Linked DNA regions of Rattus norvegicus. The protein of the gene in region 2 interacts with the protein of the main gene of each other region in a pairwise test. Links are inferred from orthologs where the notes say so. Each region holds a gene or a part of one and is shown on either strand. Other genes may lie near its edges.

What was found.
Region 1: the proteins of Gimap5 (region 2) and Eda interact in binary tests that used the Homo sapiens proteins (3 or more experiments, as listed by UniProt). The two-hybrid records come from large-scale screens. The link is inferred for Rattus norvegicus from reciprocal best matches to the Homo sapiens genes GIMAP5 and EDA.
Region 3: the proteins of Gimap5 (region 2) and Lsmem2 interact in binary tests that used the Homo sapiens proteins (3 or more experiments, as listed by UniProt). The two-hybrid records come from large-scale screens. The link is inferred for Rattus norvegicus from reciprocal best matches to the Homo sapiens genes GIMAP5 and LSMEM2.

Annotation. Positions count from the first base shown.
Region 1 is NC_086039.1:69,513,719-69,517,308, reverse strand, and holds part of Eda (ectodysplasin-A), read right to left. Parts: intron 2,728-3,590; coding exon 2,597-2,727; intron 2,066-2,596; coding exon of another isoform or gene 1,932-2,065; exon of another isoform or gene 863-1,931; intron 853-862; coding exon 601-852; 3' UTR 1-600. UniProt on the Homo sapiens protein: Cytokine which is involved in epithelial-mesenchymal signaling during morphogenesis of ectodermal organs. Functions as a ligand activating the DEATH-domain containing receptors EDAR and EDA2R. May also play a role in cell adhesion.
Region 2 is NC_086022.1:79,028,150-79,032,455, reverse strand, and holds the end of Gimap5 (GTPase IMAP family member 5), read right to left. Parts: intron 3,091-4,306; 5' UTR 3,085-3,090; coding exon 3,042-3,084; intron 1,763-3,041; exon of another isoform or gene 1,685-1,762; coding exon of another isoform or gene 1,588-1,684; coding exon 704-1,587; 3' UTR 539-703; downstream 1-538. UniProt on the Homo sapiens protein: Plays a role in T lymphocyte development and the optimal generation of CD4/CD8 double-positive thymocytes. Inhibitor of GSK3A, possibly by sequestering GSK3A in cytoplasmic vesicles and impairing its translocation to the nucleus.
Region 3 is NC_086026.1:117,146,436-117,150,699, reverse strand, and holds the start of Lsmem2 (leucine-rich single-pass membrane protein 2), read left to right. Parts: upstream 1-1,399; 5' UTR 1,400-1,713; coding exon of another isoform or gene 1,714-1,735; intron 1,736-4,158; 5' UTR 4,159-4,261; coding exon 4,262-4,264.

The DNA.
Region 1 (3,590 bases), on a different chromosome or scaffold from region 2:
CTGCCACAGTATACCCCTCGGCCTTAGTGGGAAGTTCTCTTTGAGCCTCTAGTGGGTTCTAGTGCAATGCAGCAAGAATGCCTCTTCCACCAAGGATACATACTTGGCAGGTTATTGCCCAGGTCTTTGCCACAAGGACTTGCCTTCTTCTGACTTGACCCTCTCCTTAAGTTACAACCCAATGCCACCCGCAGCCAGGAGAGAAGAAGCAGCCCCCATCAGCACTAGAATCTGGAGTGCACCTTTGTTTTTTGTGGCCTACTATCTTGGATCCTCATTTTAGTGCAACAAATGATACATCTGATGAGGGACTTAGGGGTTGAGGAGTCACCATAAGCCAGTCAACAGGGAGCCTAAGAAGGTTCTCCTTCTTGAAAACCCTGGGGCTCCATCAACTGTACTGGCAACTCAAGGTCATTCTGGGAAGTCATGTAGGCCTTGTCATCCTGGAGTCACGGGGGAATAAATAGCATGGAGCATTTCTCTCTGTGGCTGCAACGGCAATATACCTCATTCCACACACAGCAGCACTTAGAGGTTCTGGGAGTCCTGGCTCCCAAACCTGGGGCAGGGGCATGGGGCAGGATGGAAAGGGAGAATCTAGGATGCAGGGGCTTCGCCCAGCCTGATGGCCCCAAAGAAGGTGGTGTGCTTGCTCATATTGATAGAGATGTCGGCGTGCACCATCTTCACGGCAATTTTCTGCCTGGCCTTGAGGAGGCACACGCCTGCAGTATAGCAAGTGTTGTAGTTGGTCTTCCCTGTCTCAATGCTGCGGGTGCACTGCAGGAAGGGCTTCTCATCCACCACCACCTCGTAGCTGGCAAAGTCAGTGAAGTTGATGTAGTACACCTGGGTGAGAGGCAACGAGAAGGGATTGGGGGAGAGAGGAAAAAGAGGGTGGGGCCCTCCCCTGGTGAGCAGATAAATCCTCCTCAGATGAGCTGCCAGTATACCCCATGCAGGGGCAGTGCCACCCAAAAGTGTGCCTGTTGGCCAGCAGGAACAGCAGGGTGACAGGTTCCCACTGCCCTCCCCCTCCTCCATGGGTTCAGAGAGCTGAGCAAACCTTTCTTTCAGACTGCCTGAGGTCAAGAACTGCCTTATGTACCATTTCACAGGCTCCACTCCAAAATCCTGGCACGAAGCAGTGCTTCGCACTCCTTAGGTGCTTAATCAATGCTCTGGACACCCCAAATTCCAGTTCCCACACTAAAGACAATTTCGGAATAGACTTAGAAAGCTCAACTGCCTCAGGGAGGTCGCAGTACTGACTTCCCATTTCTCTGTGAACAGGAGCTTCGTAAGTTCTCAGCGTACTCTTCTGTCCTGTGCTTCTTTCCCTGACCCAGCACAGCTTGGACCCCTCTCTTGCTGACTGAAGAAGCAGATCCCGAGAGAAGGGGAGCTGGCCTATACAAATGAGACAGTGGATGCAAATCCTAGGTGCCTAATTTCATTCTGTGGCCAGGAGGAAGTATGAGCCTCTGGCCTAGCCTCATGAAGACTTTCTTAGCTCACACGGACCACTCCTGATCCTCTCCTGAGTGTAGACATTTAATGTCCACCTTTCATCACCATTTGCCAGCACATCCGACCTTCAGCTCTGATGTTTTTACCACCACCAAATGGAATTTAGTTTGTGGGATATTGGGATTATACCCACATGCCCCATAGGAGTGGGGATTGTCTTTCATTTGACACCTTAAATCACTTCATAAAAATGACTTTGCAGGCTCTTCACAAGCAGCATATTTAAATGCCACATCATCTTTTGGGTCAGGACCAAGTAATAAAAGGATACTCTGTGTGCCAGGCGGGTACTGGTTAACTCAACTTCTCTAGTCACTTTTTCTTGAGAGCCATTTGTCAATTCCAGAGTCCTTCTGTCCATCTGCCTGCTAACTGCCTGCCTCCTGGAAACCCTGACCTCAAGTCCTATGTACTTGCAGCTCTGAGGAGAGCCCCAATGGAGGCACGGAATGAGGGATGAAAATGAATGGCCACTGGCAGACCTGTGGGGAATGGGCCCAGGGCAGGAGAAGGACAAAAGCAGAGGGGGAGAAAGGTCAGGAGAATGATAGCAAGAAGGAGGCAAGACCAACAGAAACAGACAGAAACAAATGGGAGAAAGAGGAAGGAAAGACAGTCAGAAATCTTCTTGAGGTAGAGAGAAAGTTCACAGGAGCACTGTCCATTATCACGCCCAAGCTAGCAGTGTTGTGGGGAGGAGTCTCTGCAGCTCTGAAACTTAGTCTTAAAAACTTAGAGCAAGGTCAGGTCTTTCTGTGGAACCAAACGACTCAGAGGGGAAGTGAGGGCCTGGGGTCCTGCAAGAGGGGATCAGACAGCAGGGTGTGGGAAAGGCCTCTTTACACAGTTTTTCAGTGATATTTTTCTAGGGGAAAAATGAAATGGGTTCCTTGGTCTTTCCTCCCTTCAACTCCCTCCCAGTGTGAAATCTGTCACTCCTTTCCCCAGCACTGCCAGAAGTTAGCCATTGGATGGTCTTGGCTTGTTCCACAGTGCCCCTAGGTGGCCTGCACCATATCTGCACCCTGGATATAAGAAGAGTTAGGCCTAAGACCGTACTCACTTCTACCTGACTATAGATGAAGTAGGTGCCGTCCACCAGTACCTCCAGCTCCCCGCTGCGGGGATGTAGCTTAAACACCTTGGGGTTCATAGTGATGCGAGACCAGTCATTGAGCACTCCACCTGAAAGATCTCAGTATGAGAGAAGGGCAGTCACTCAGTACATGTCAACATAATCTGGACAACAGATATAAATAGCAAGCAGTTATCCCCATTTCCCACCAATCCCATCTAACACCAATGACCATAAACGTTTCAAGGGCCAGTATTTTAAAAGAACATTTTGAAGCAGGAAAAGTGTACTGTTTGTAAAGTGGCTTCTAGGCTTGCCTGGGTGCCTATGGGTCTACATATCAGTCTTTGTCCTTGCATTCTTGACCATTCCATCAATAAGGCTCTTTACCTTCTAGCTGGAAGCTGAGGTGGTGATGGTGAAAGAGGAGAGTAGGCACATAACCATTTCTTTGTTGTTATGGTGACTGCACAGGCAAAATCCAGACACTGAGTGGCAGGCTAAGTCTTAGTATTCAATTTCACTTTGCTAGCAATATCACCCGAATTCCTCTCTTGTCTCAGATGTTCCTGTGTTTTTGTCTCTTCTTAATAGATTCTTTGCTATGGCTCCTCCACACCCACTCCTTTCTGGGAAGCCTCCCGAGGGCCCCAGGAAACCACTTAATCAAACAATCCATCTGTCTGGAGAACTAGATGGTGGGAATTCAGTATCAGGGGTGATCACTCAGATGCCAAGGCAGCTGGGGATAGTGACTGCCAGTAAACAGGCCCCAAAGACAGTGAGCTTTACAATACTGGGGGATAGCCTCTTAGGTGTCAGTAGACTGAATGTGCCTAGGAGTTGAGGCACTCTTGGTAAAGCATTTTTTTCATATCCTTAAGTCAGTTGGGGACACAAACATGAGAGGATGGAGGAACACTTCTCCTCCCATCCTGCAGATAGAAAGCTGTTCCTTCCTGCTAAGAAGAGGGAAACTAAG
Region 2 (4,306 bases):
CGGTTTGTCAATGCATGGCCTCTTGACCATAGTGGCTTGTGCCCGCCTGTGCTGCCGAGGGCCTATACCTCCTACACAGTCTTCCAAGCCCTTTGTATCTCTGATCATAGACATTCTGGCTCCTGTGTTTCTTGACTGCTGACCCGGCTTTTTCTAGTGTAAGACCCACCCTGATCCTGTAACCTCTTCACTCAGTCCCCACTCACGTCCCAGCCTCTAACCTCAGTCTCTTCTGTACCTTCAGAGTCCTCTGCTTCCTGCACACCATCTTTATCTTTCTCAGGGGTGGAGTGATGATGGAGTTCTGACTTTATAGGTACCGTGAGGTCAGGGTGAACTTATGACTAAAATATAACTCTGCTCTAAGCTCTGCATTTCTCCTCTTAATATCACATCTGTAGGAAGTGGGGCTCTAGGTGAGACACACCCACTGCTGCACAGTTCCTGAGTCCTCCTTTGTGCAAGCCCCCAGACCTTTATGATGGTAGCTTCTTGCTCCATCATCTATCCTGACAACTTCAACAAAGAGAGAAACACATTCTTCTTTCATATTTTATTTACTTAACGGTATTTAGAAGGGTTCTACTGTGTCTCATGCACAGGAGTCAAATGATAGTGAAATTATTTGAAGACTGAGCTTCCCTAACATGGAGATGGGGAAATTTGGTGGACAGGGATAATGGCAGGATTCACCCAAAGAGACTCATTTCCACCTGCCAATGTACATATTAATTAAAGTGATGAGAAGGGTCAGACCAAGAACAATAAGAAGAACAGACACTGCAATGTGCCAGTCCAAGCAGGACGTGACTCTGCAAAGCATTTTAGCCATCCAGCTGCCCTCCTGCTCCTCCAGCTCCCTCTTCTGCTTCTCTACCTCCTGCCTCACCTTGGTCAGGTAGAACTTGTATGGCTCCTGGTGTTCACTGTAGCCACCTCTAAGGAACACCTGAGTATAAACGAAGAGGTCATTGCTGTGGAAGGAGCCCTCATGCTCCTGTTCCAGTCTTCTCACCAGGGCCATGAGCTCTGCCAGCTGCCCCTGCTGCTCCTCCCCAGAAGCCTTGTTATTAAAGGCACAGTACCTCCTCCCACACTCCTGAACCAGTCTGTGCAGGTCGAGGTTGCCTGTGTGGGTCACAAACTCTTCCAAGGACTCATCTGCCAGGTCTTCCTTGTGGGTGAAGAGGACAATCATGTACCTCATGACCCCTACCCCAAAGATCTGCTTCACCATCCTCACAGCCATGGCATCTTCGACTGTGTAGCGTCCCAGTTGGGTCACCAGCAACAACACATGGGGTCCTGGGGCACACATCAGGTAGCAGTTCCCAATGTCCTTGTCCATGTCTTGGTTCTGGATCTTTGACTCGAAGATGGGGGGCGTGTCCACCACTAGGAAGCTCCTTCCCTCCCATGTGCCCATCTCTGCCTGACTGGTCCTGGTCACAGACTGGCCTCTGAGCCTGGACTCGAACGCTGGTCTGCGGAGAATGCTGTTCCCTGTGGCACTTTTTCCGCAGCCAGATTTACCCACCAGGAGGATCCTCAGGAGGCCAGAGTCTTCTACACTGTAGGTTTCTTGTCCTGTAGACAAGAGAAAGTTTATGTTTCCCTTAGTGAGTCTTCTGACGTTGAGGTCATGGGTCCTTGTGGATAGTTCCTCAAAGCCATGGTCCTCCATCCCAGGAAAACAGGCATAACTCCATGCTCCTAACTGTTTGGCTATAAATTTAGGTGACTTTTGACTTTCACAGAGTCCCTGTTGGGAGTCACAGACAAGGGGTAGAAGTGTCGCATGAAGGCTCTGTGCCATCTGAACCAAGATAAACAGATCATTTCTGAAGAAAACGTCCTGTGTTCTCCCCCATTAGATGCTCAGGGAAGATCCCCAGAAAACTGGTCATGAAATTAGTAAGAGTTTGGAAGGAGGCAGAGACGGATGAGAAGTCATGACCGACAGAACAGTCACCTCCTTACCCACAATTCTCCAGACAGATTATCTAAATGTGCTCAGCCTGTGGAAGAGCCCCCAGTGACTCACATTCAGAGCTGTCTGGATATGCTAGGAAGCAAAACGGCAGTTGAATTTGAGATGAGAGATGGTGACAGTTACTGTCAGGTGGAAATCTGGGAACTGACACTACAGTGGGAGCTGGAGAAGGGTGGAAGAGAAGATGGATAGAAACACTGAGACGCAGACAAAGAGGACATGCCAGAGAGATCTTCTGATTGGTCCGGTGGGACCCAGGGAACAGGAGTGTGGGGGTGGGGTGGGGCGGGGGACTAGGGACCCCTTCACCAGCATTGAAGGGATAAGTATCTGGGGCTGTCCTGTGAGTCCAAACAAATTTTAAGTACGTTATAGACTAAAAGATCGCTCGTTTGGGTAGAAAGCTGGGGTGTAGCTCAGTGGTAGAATGCCCATCCAGCAAGCATGAGGCCCTCGGTTCAAGTCTCGGTGTTACAGAAAGCAAAAATGCTTACTTTATGTCTTTTACTCTGTGGGTTTGGTTTGTTTTTTTGGCTTGTTTTGTTTTTCATTTCCTTTAGACTTTCGGAGGTGTTTTGTAAGAAATCATTTTAAAGGATTTTTTTCAAAATTTTTGCAGCTGAGAGGAGATGAAGGAAGAGCACGTCTCAAAATTTAGTTCCAGGCCTGTCTAACTCTGAATGAGTGTCAAAGAAACATTTTCACAGTGTTACAGTGGAGTGTGTATGTGTACATGCTCATGCGTGTGCATATGCATGTATATACATGTGTATTTGTAAGCATGTATGCCTGTGTGAATGTGTGTCTGTCTGTACATGTATATGTGTTACATGTGTATTTGTATGTATGTATGTATATGTGTGTGCATGTGTATTATCTATATACATGAAAAAAACAATGACTTGGACACAATAGAACTGGAGGACAAACACCAGTCGTCTCCCCCGCCCTACATCTTAACTGAGCATCTGCACCTGTTTTGGAGTGGGACAAGGAACAGTTACTCCCTCCAGTTCTCAAGCTCTTTAGGACCTTGGTGTTTTCTTACCTTCAACTATAGTTCCATATGTGCTCTTCTGAAGGCCTTCCATTCTCTTCTGGAACAAAAATGGGAAAGGAATTAAAGTTGGGTCCCTGTGGGCACTGGTAAGGCACCTTGACTGGGGTGGCTAAGGGTAACTATTCTTGGGTGGCCAGTTCCATTGCTAACTCTCCCGCCTAGGTGTTACTTTCAAACATCTATAAATAACTGCTGGAGTGGGGTGGGGTCATCCCAGAACAATGAGCTATTGTATTGTTTTTCCTTACTAGGAGGAAAACATGTTCATTACTGAGGAACTGATGACCTCCTCAAGCTGAAAGTACAGAATGTGGGAAGCATTCCTCTATGAGCAAGAACTAGACCAGAACAAACCAAGCAAAAAACTAACAAACAACAACAATAAAAACTGGACCAACTTAGATGAACTTGCCAGAGTAGAGAACACAGTTGCCCTGCTGTGAATAACATTGATTTGTTTGAAGTGCCATGCATGTCCAGAAATGTTCCAGAGGCAAAGAAGCAATCCAGCATACTTTCCCTGGGAGGAATGAATGCAGTATGACAATTTCTCCAAGGACTGACCAAGAGGAAGGAGGTCAGGAGGTCAGACAAAGCATCTTCCCTGCCTGGTTCTGAGGTCCTGGTTTACCAAAAACCACAATCTTGTATCTTAGCACATTCTGCCAGAAACTAGATTGAGCATGGCATACATATTCTGTGAAAAGGACTGTAATGCTGTTTCACTGGTTTTGGTGTGGTAAAATGGAAGCATGCAACAGGAAGGGCTAGCCTGTGACACTAACTGCTCCTCGGTCAACTCCCAGCTCATGTTAGCTAGTTTTTAAACATTTTAGTTTTAAAGCATATTTGTACTTGGGAAAGGTACATGAAAGAAAACACAGAATAAAAACAAACAGCCACCATTTGCAATGAACATAAGTGATTTGCTGTTCCGGTATAGTTGCATGACCTAATTTAAAAATTAAACCGTCACAGATGTGCTTCATGGTTTTTGGTGTTCTCCCCAATCTTCTGTCTAACTCATTCTAGCCTTCACAGCAATCAGTATTTTGGTGCTTTTGTATGTTGTATTTTATGTATGTATATACATGCTTAGACAATTTCATCCTAAACCTTTACATAAGTGTCATTTTTGCAACACGCTACTCACTATTTTTATTAACAGACATCTAAACTGCTCTGAAATTGTTGCTTTTCACACCGAAGAACGCTGTAAAATCGTCCTCATCGGTAGCTCTGCACGCCTGCTG
Region 3 (4,264 bases), on a different chromosome or scaffold from region 2:
GCTGGATATGACACACCGAAGAGGGGGCAGATAGATGCCAGGAAGACAGATGAGTTGTGGCTGGGGCACACTGAGATCGTTGGGCCAACGGAGACAACTAACCCATACATGAACCCTGGCCCAAGTGTAGCTTATTTATTAACAAGATAACCCGTGAATGTATTCCTGGAAGAGTGGCCCAAGCTCAATTCAGGATCTAACCTGGAGGGAGGGGACAAGAAGTGGGGCTCCAGAGTGGAGCGGAACCAGAGAGATGTCTTGGGTGGCAGCCCTGGGGAAAGCATTCTCTTTCTTGGGCATCGAGGAGAAAGCTGTGAACAGATTAGGCTGTCCAGTGTGGGGTGAGGCAGGCCAACTGTACTAAAGTAATACAATAAACACATTATCAGCTGATGTTGGAATGGCCCCAGCAGATAGCAGCTAGTCCTAGACCTTGCTGGGGGTCTCGGACATTGTCCTAGCGGTCTCAAGGCCTGTACTTTTCCCATCCAAGAAGGCTGTAGTGGAGATTAAAAGTGTTAGTAGATGATTACGCTGGTTCTAATGAGCCTCTGGGGCTCAGTGCATTAGCAGCAGGGCCAAGCTCTCTGAAGTAAAAACAAACAAACAAAACAAACAAACAAACAAACAATACTGGATGTTGTGGGCAAGAATGTATTAAGAATTCACTGAGTGGGTGATGTTTGAGCTGAAAGGAGCCAGTCACAGATGTCCAGTGACAGAACATTCCAGACTAGAAGGACCAAAGTCTTGGAGCGGGGGACAAACCCTCTCTGTCTGAGGAACACCAAGGAGGCTGATATGGTATCACACTATGGATTCCGAATGGTTTGGAAGGTAGACCTGCCATGGTCTTGCTTTGCACAGCTGTGAAGAAGCAGAACAGAGTTCACTCACAGACTAAGGCTGCAAGCTGGAACGGCACCCTTCAAGAGTGAGCAACAGGCCTCCACATGGCCTTATGGAGAGGAGACAAGAGCCAAGACCGTTATGTCTAACTCTTAAGCCATTCCTCTGCATTTGTATTCTCAGTACGGTTGGCCAGGAACCCTTGTTCCTATTCTATAGGTAGAAAAGTAAAGGCCACTCTTTTTCCCCATGGTTATAGTTTAATACTAGAAATAGCAGTTTCTAATCCCGGTCTGACCACTGTATGGGTGCCCTTGTAGAGCTGCCAGACCCTTGGCATTGGGCTCCAGTTGCACCCAGTCCACCACCCCCAGTATCTGGTACTAGATGGTCACACAGTGGTGGGTGGTTGTCTCCAATTGCTGGGAGGAGATGGCTAGTCTGTGGGTAAAGGGTCTGAGAGAGAGGGATGGCTGAGCGGACCTGTGCAGGGTTCCTTTGCTACCATGCTGCATGGTGCGTGCTGAGCATTGGGATGAAGGCTCCCAAGTCTGGGTGTGTATAAAGTTGGTGTGGTTTTCCGAGAAGTTCCTTCTGTCCATGTGCTAGCAGAGGCTTGCCCTTGGCTGAGCCCCATCACTAAGTAGGTAGTTTAGGCCGGCCCATCCAGGTCACTCTGCCCCTTTTCATGGTTCAGAGCTGCCCTCTCTAAATATAGTTCAGGGAAAGTGAGCTCAGGCCTATTTCAAGACCAGGTTGGGAGGCAGCCAGGCCTCTCCTAGAATCTGAAAGAAGCCACTGCTGCCTTTGTCCAGTTCTGCTACTGGGCACTCTCATTGGGCCTCTGACTACCTACCAACTGCCATGCCTGAGGAGATCCAAGAAGGTAGGAGAGGGTGGCCACTGGGGAGGACAGGGCTCAAGTCCTATGGGTCAAGGAGAGACCTAGCTTCATGGGGAGAACCCTCAGTCTTTTCTTACCTCAGCCCTAGGGACCTACCCTATGTACGGAGAAAGAATACCTAAGGCTCCTCCACTTAAGGTCCTGGCTCAGGGAGGGGCTCAAAGCTCTCCACTTAGGAACAGGTCAGCTGTAGGCTGTGCCCAAGCAAGTGTGGGCATCTAGGGGGCTCCTAAGCAGCCCTTTCTAGAAGAAGCCAGGATTGGGATGAAGACTGGTTCCAGGGAACATTTGGACACCTGGCCCAGGGGACTATGAGGTAGAGAGGCTGTCCTACACCTCTCAGCCTGGTCAAGGCTGACACTTAGCTAGTCAAGTGCCTTTACCTGCTGAGCCATCCTGTCCCCCCTCAATATTTTATGCTGCAGAGAAAGGGCCTGCTCTCTACTAAGGGAAGGTGTTTATCTTTTTGGGGGGAGACGGGGAGACTTAACTGTAACACCTACCATGTGTCTTTTTCTGTAGCGAATAAAACATGTCCAAATATAAGTTATGGGAGAAGCACAGTGAGGAGCCAAGAGGAGGTTTAATGTGGCTTGGAGTCTACTGCCGGGGCTTAAGGACTGACAGCCTCGGGTTTTTTGTTTGAATTGCTTGTGAGCCTGGCAAGGGGCAGCTTCAAGCATGTCATAAAGGGCTGAGTTACTGTCCTGAGATGGGAGGGCCCAGAGGACCAACAGCCAGCCTTACCCAGTTCTCTGCTACACTGTTACCTAGGTTCCTGGCAGGCATCTGGAGCTCTTGTGGAGTGGAGACAAAACAAAACAAAGTAACAAACATCCAATAAAAGACCTTGGGGGGTTGGGGATTTTGCTCAGTGGTAGAGTGCTTGCCTAGGAAGCACAAGGCCCTGGGTTCGGTCCCCAGCTCCGAAAAAAAGAACCAAAAAAAAAAAAAAAAAAAAAAAAGACCTTGGTGGTACACACTCAGGAGGTACAGGCAAGCAGATCTCTGTGAGTTCAAGGCCAGCCTGGTCTATATTCTGAATTCTAGGCGGCCAGGTCTACATAGTCCCTGTTTTGAAAATTAATTAAGCAAACAAACACACCAGCAGAAAGTATAGTTATAGTTATTTAGAAATCACAACTATTTTGGTAGTAGTTGGAATGCTGAGGCAGAGGGATCACATGAATTAACCAGGTACTCAATACCAGTCTGGAAACTTGCTGAGACTGTCTTAAACAGGGGAGGGGGCGGGAGGAGGACGAGATGGCTCAGTAATTAAAAACACTTGCTGTAACCAGGAGATCTGAGTTCAGATCCCAGTACCAGGCGACAAGCTGGGTGTGGTCTTGTGTGCCTTAGAACCCCAGTGCTGTGTGTATTGGGACAGGAAGATAGGAAGGTCACTGGAGCTTGCTGGTTGCTGCCCTTGTCAAAAACAAACAAACAAACAAACCCCCCTGATTTCTGGACTTGGGAAGAGTCCCGTCTCAAGGAATAAGGTGGAGAGTAAGAGATGGGGCAGCTGCAAGCGTCTAAATGGGAGCGAGCATTCACCACGCACATGTCGCTAACACATAACAAAGCTGGGTAGAGAGAGAGAGAGACGCGCACATTTAATACCAGTAATAGGCTGAGGCGAGAGAATTTCGACTTTAAGCCTATCCTAGCTTAGGCAATGAGTTCTGGGACAGCACAGTGAGTCACTATCTCAAAACAAAACCAAATCTGAAATATAACCGCAAGGGAACCGTGGCCAGTGACCACATAGGCAGAACCTGTGAATGGTAATTACACCCGTGGTCAGCCTCCCCAGGCAGCAATCAAGGCAAGCTGTTTCTCATCTTAAATTAGCAAATACAGGTAAAGGTATGTGCATACAGGGTCTGGGGATGGTTCTGTAAAAGATTTGTCTAGCAGGTATGAAGACCTGAGTTCATTTCTCCGGGGACATGATGTGTGTGAGGCTGCCCCATGACATGCTCAGAAGCAAGACAAAAATCAGATGCTGTCTGTCAGTCTTTAAGTCTGGGAGGTAGACTGCAGATCACGGGGTATACACTTCTGATCCCAGGTCTGGTGAGGTTAAGAGTTCCTGGGGCTCCATAGTGAGCCTAGGCTGTTTGTTGAGCTCCCGAGCCAGGTCAGCAAGACCTCTGGCTTCTGTGCAGGCACAATGCACACAAACACACTTTTCCCCACAGTGGGATGCCTAATGGTGCGATGTTGTACTGCTGGGCTCTGGACAGGCCTTTTAGAAGACAGTTTTGATGATAGCTTCAAAGAGAACTCTCTGTTCTTGGGTCCAGTGATTTCAACTTCTGAGAAATGCCCTCAGTAACTTTCAGGAAAGTGGGGAAAACCTTCTTATTTAATGATGGATGTCCTGGGGGTTAATTCCACAGAGAATTGGAAACTACCTAAAATGCCCAGATAGCCTCAGAGGGAAGCCATGGGGAGGAGGCCTCAAAGTTGCATGAAACTGTGGAGAGAGAGTGGACTCCTGCCATG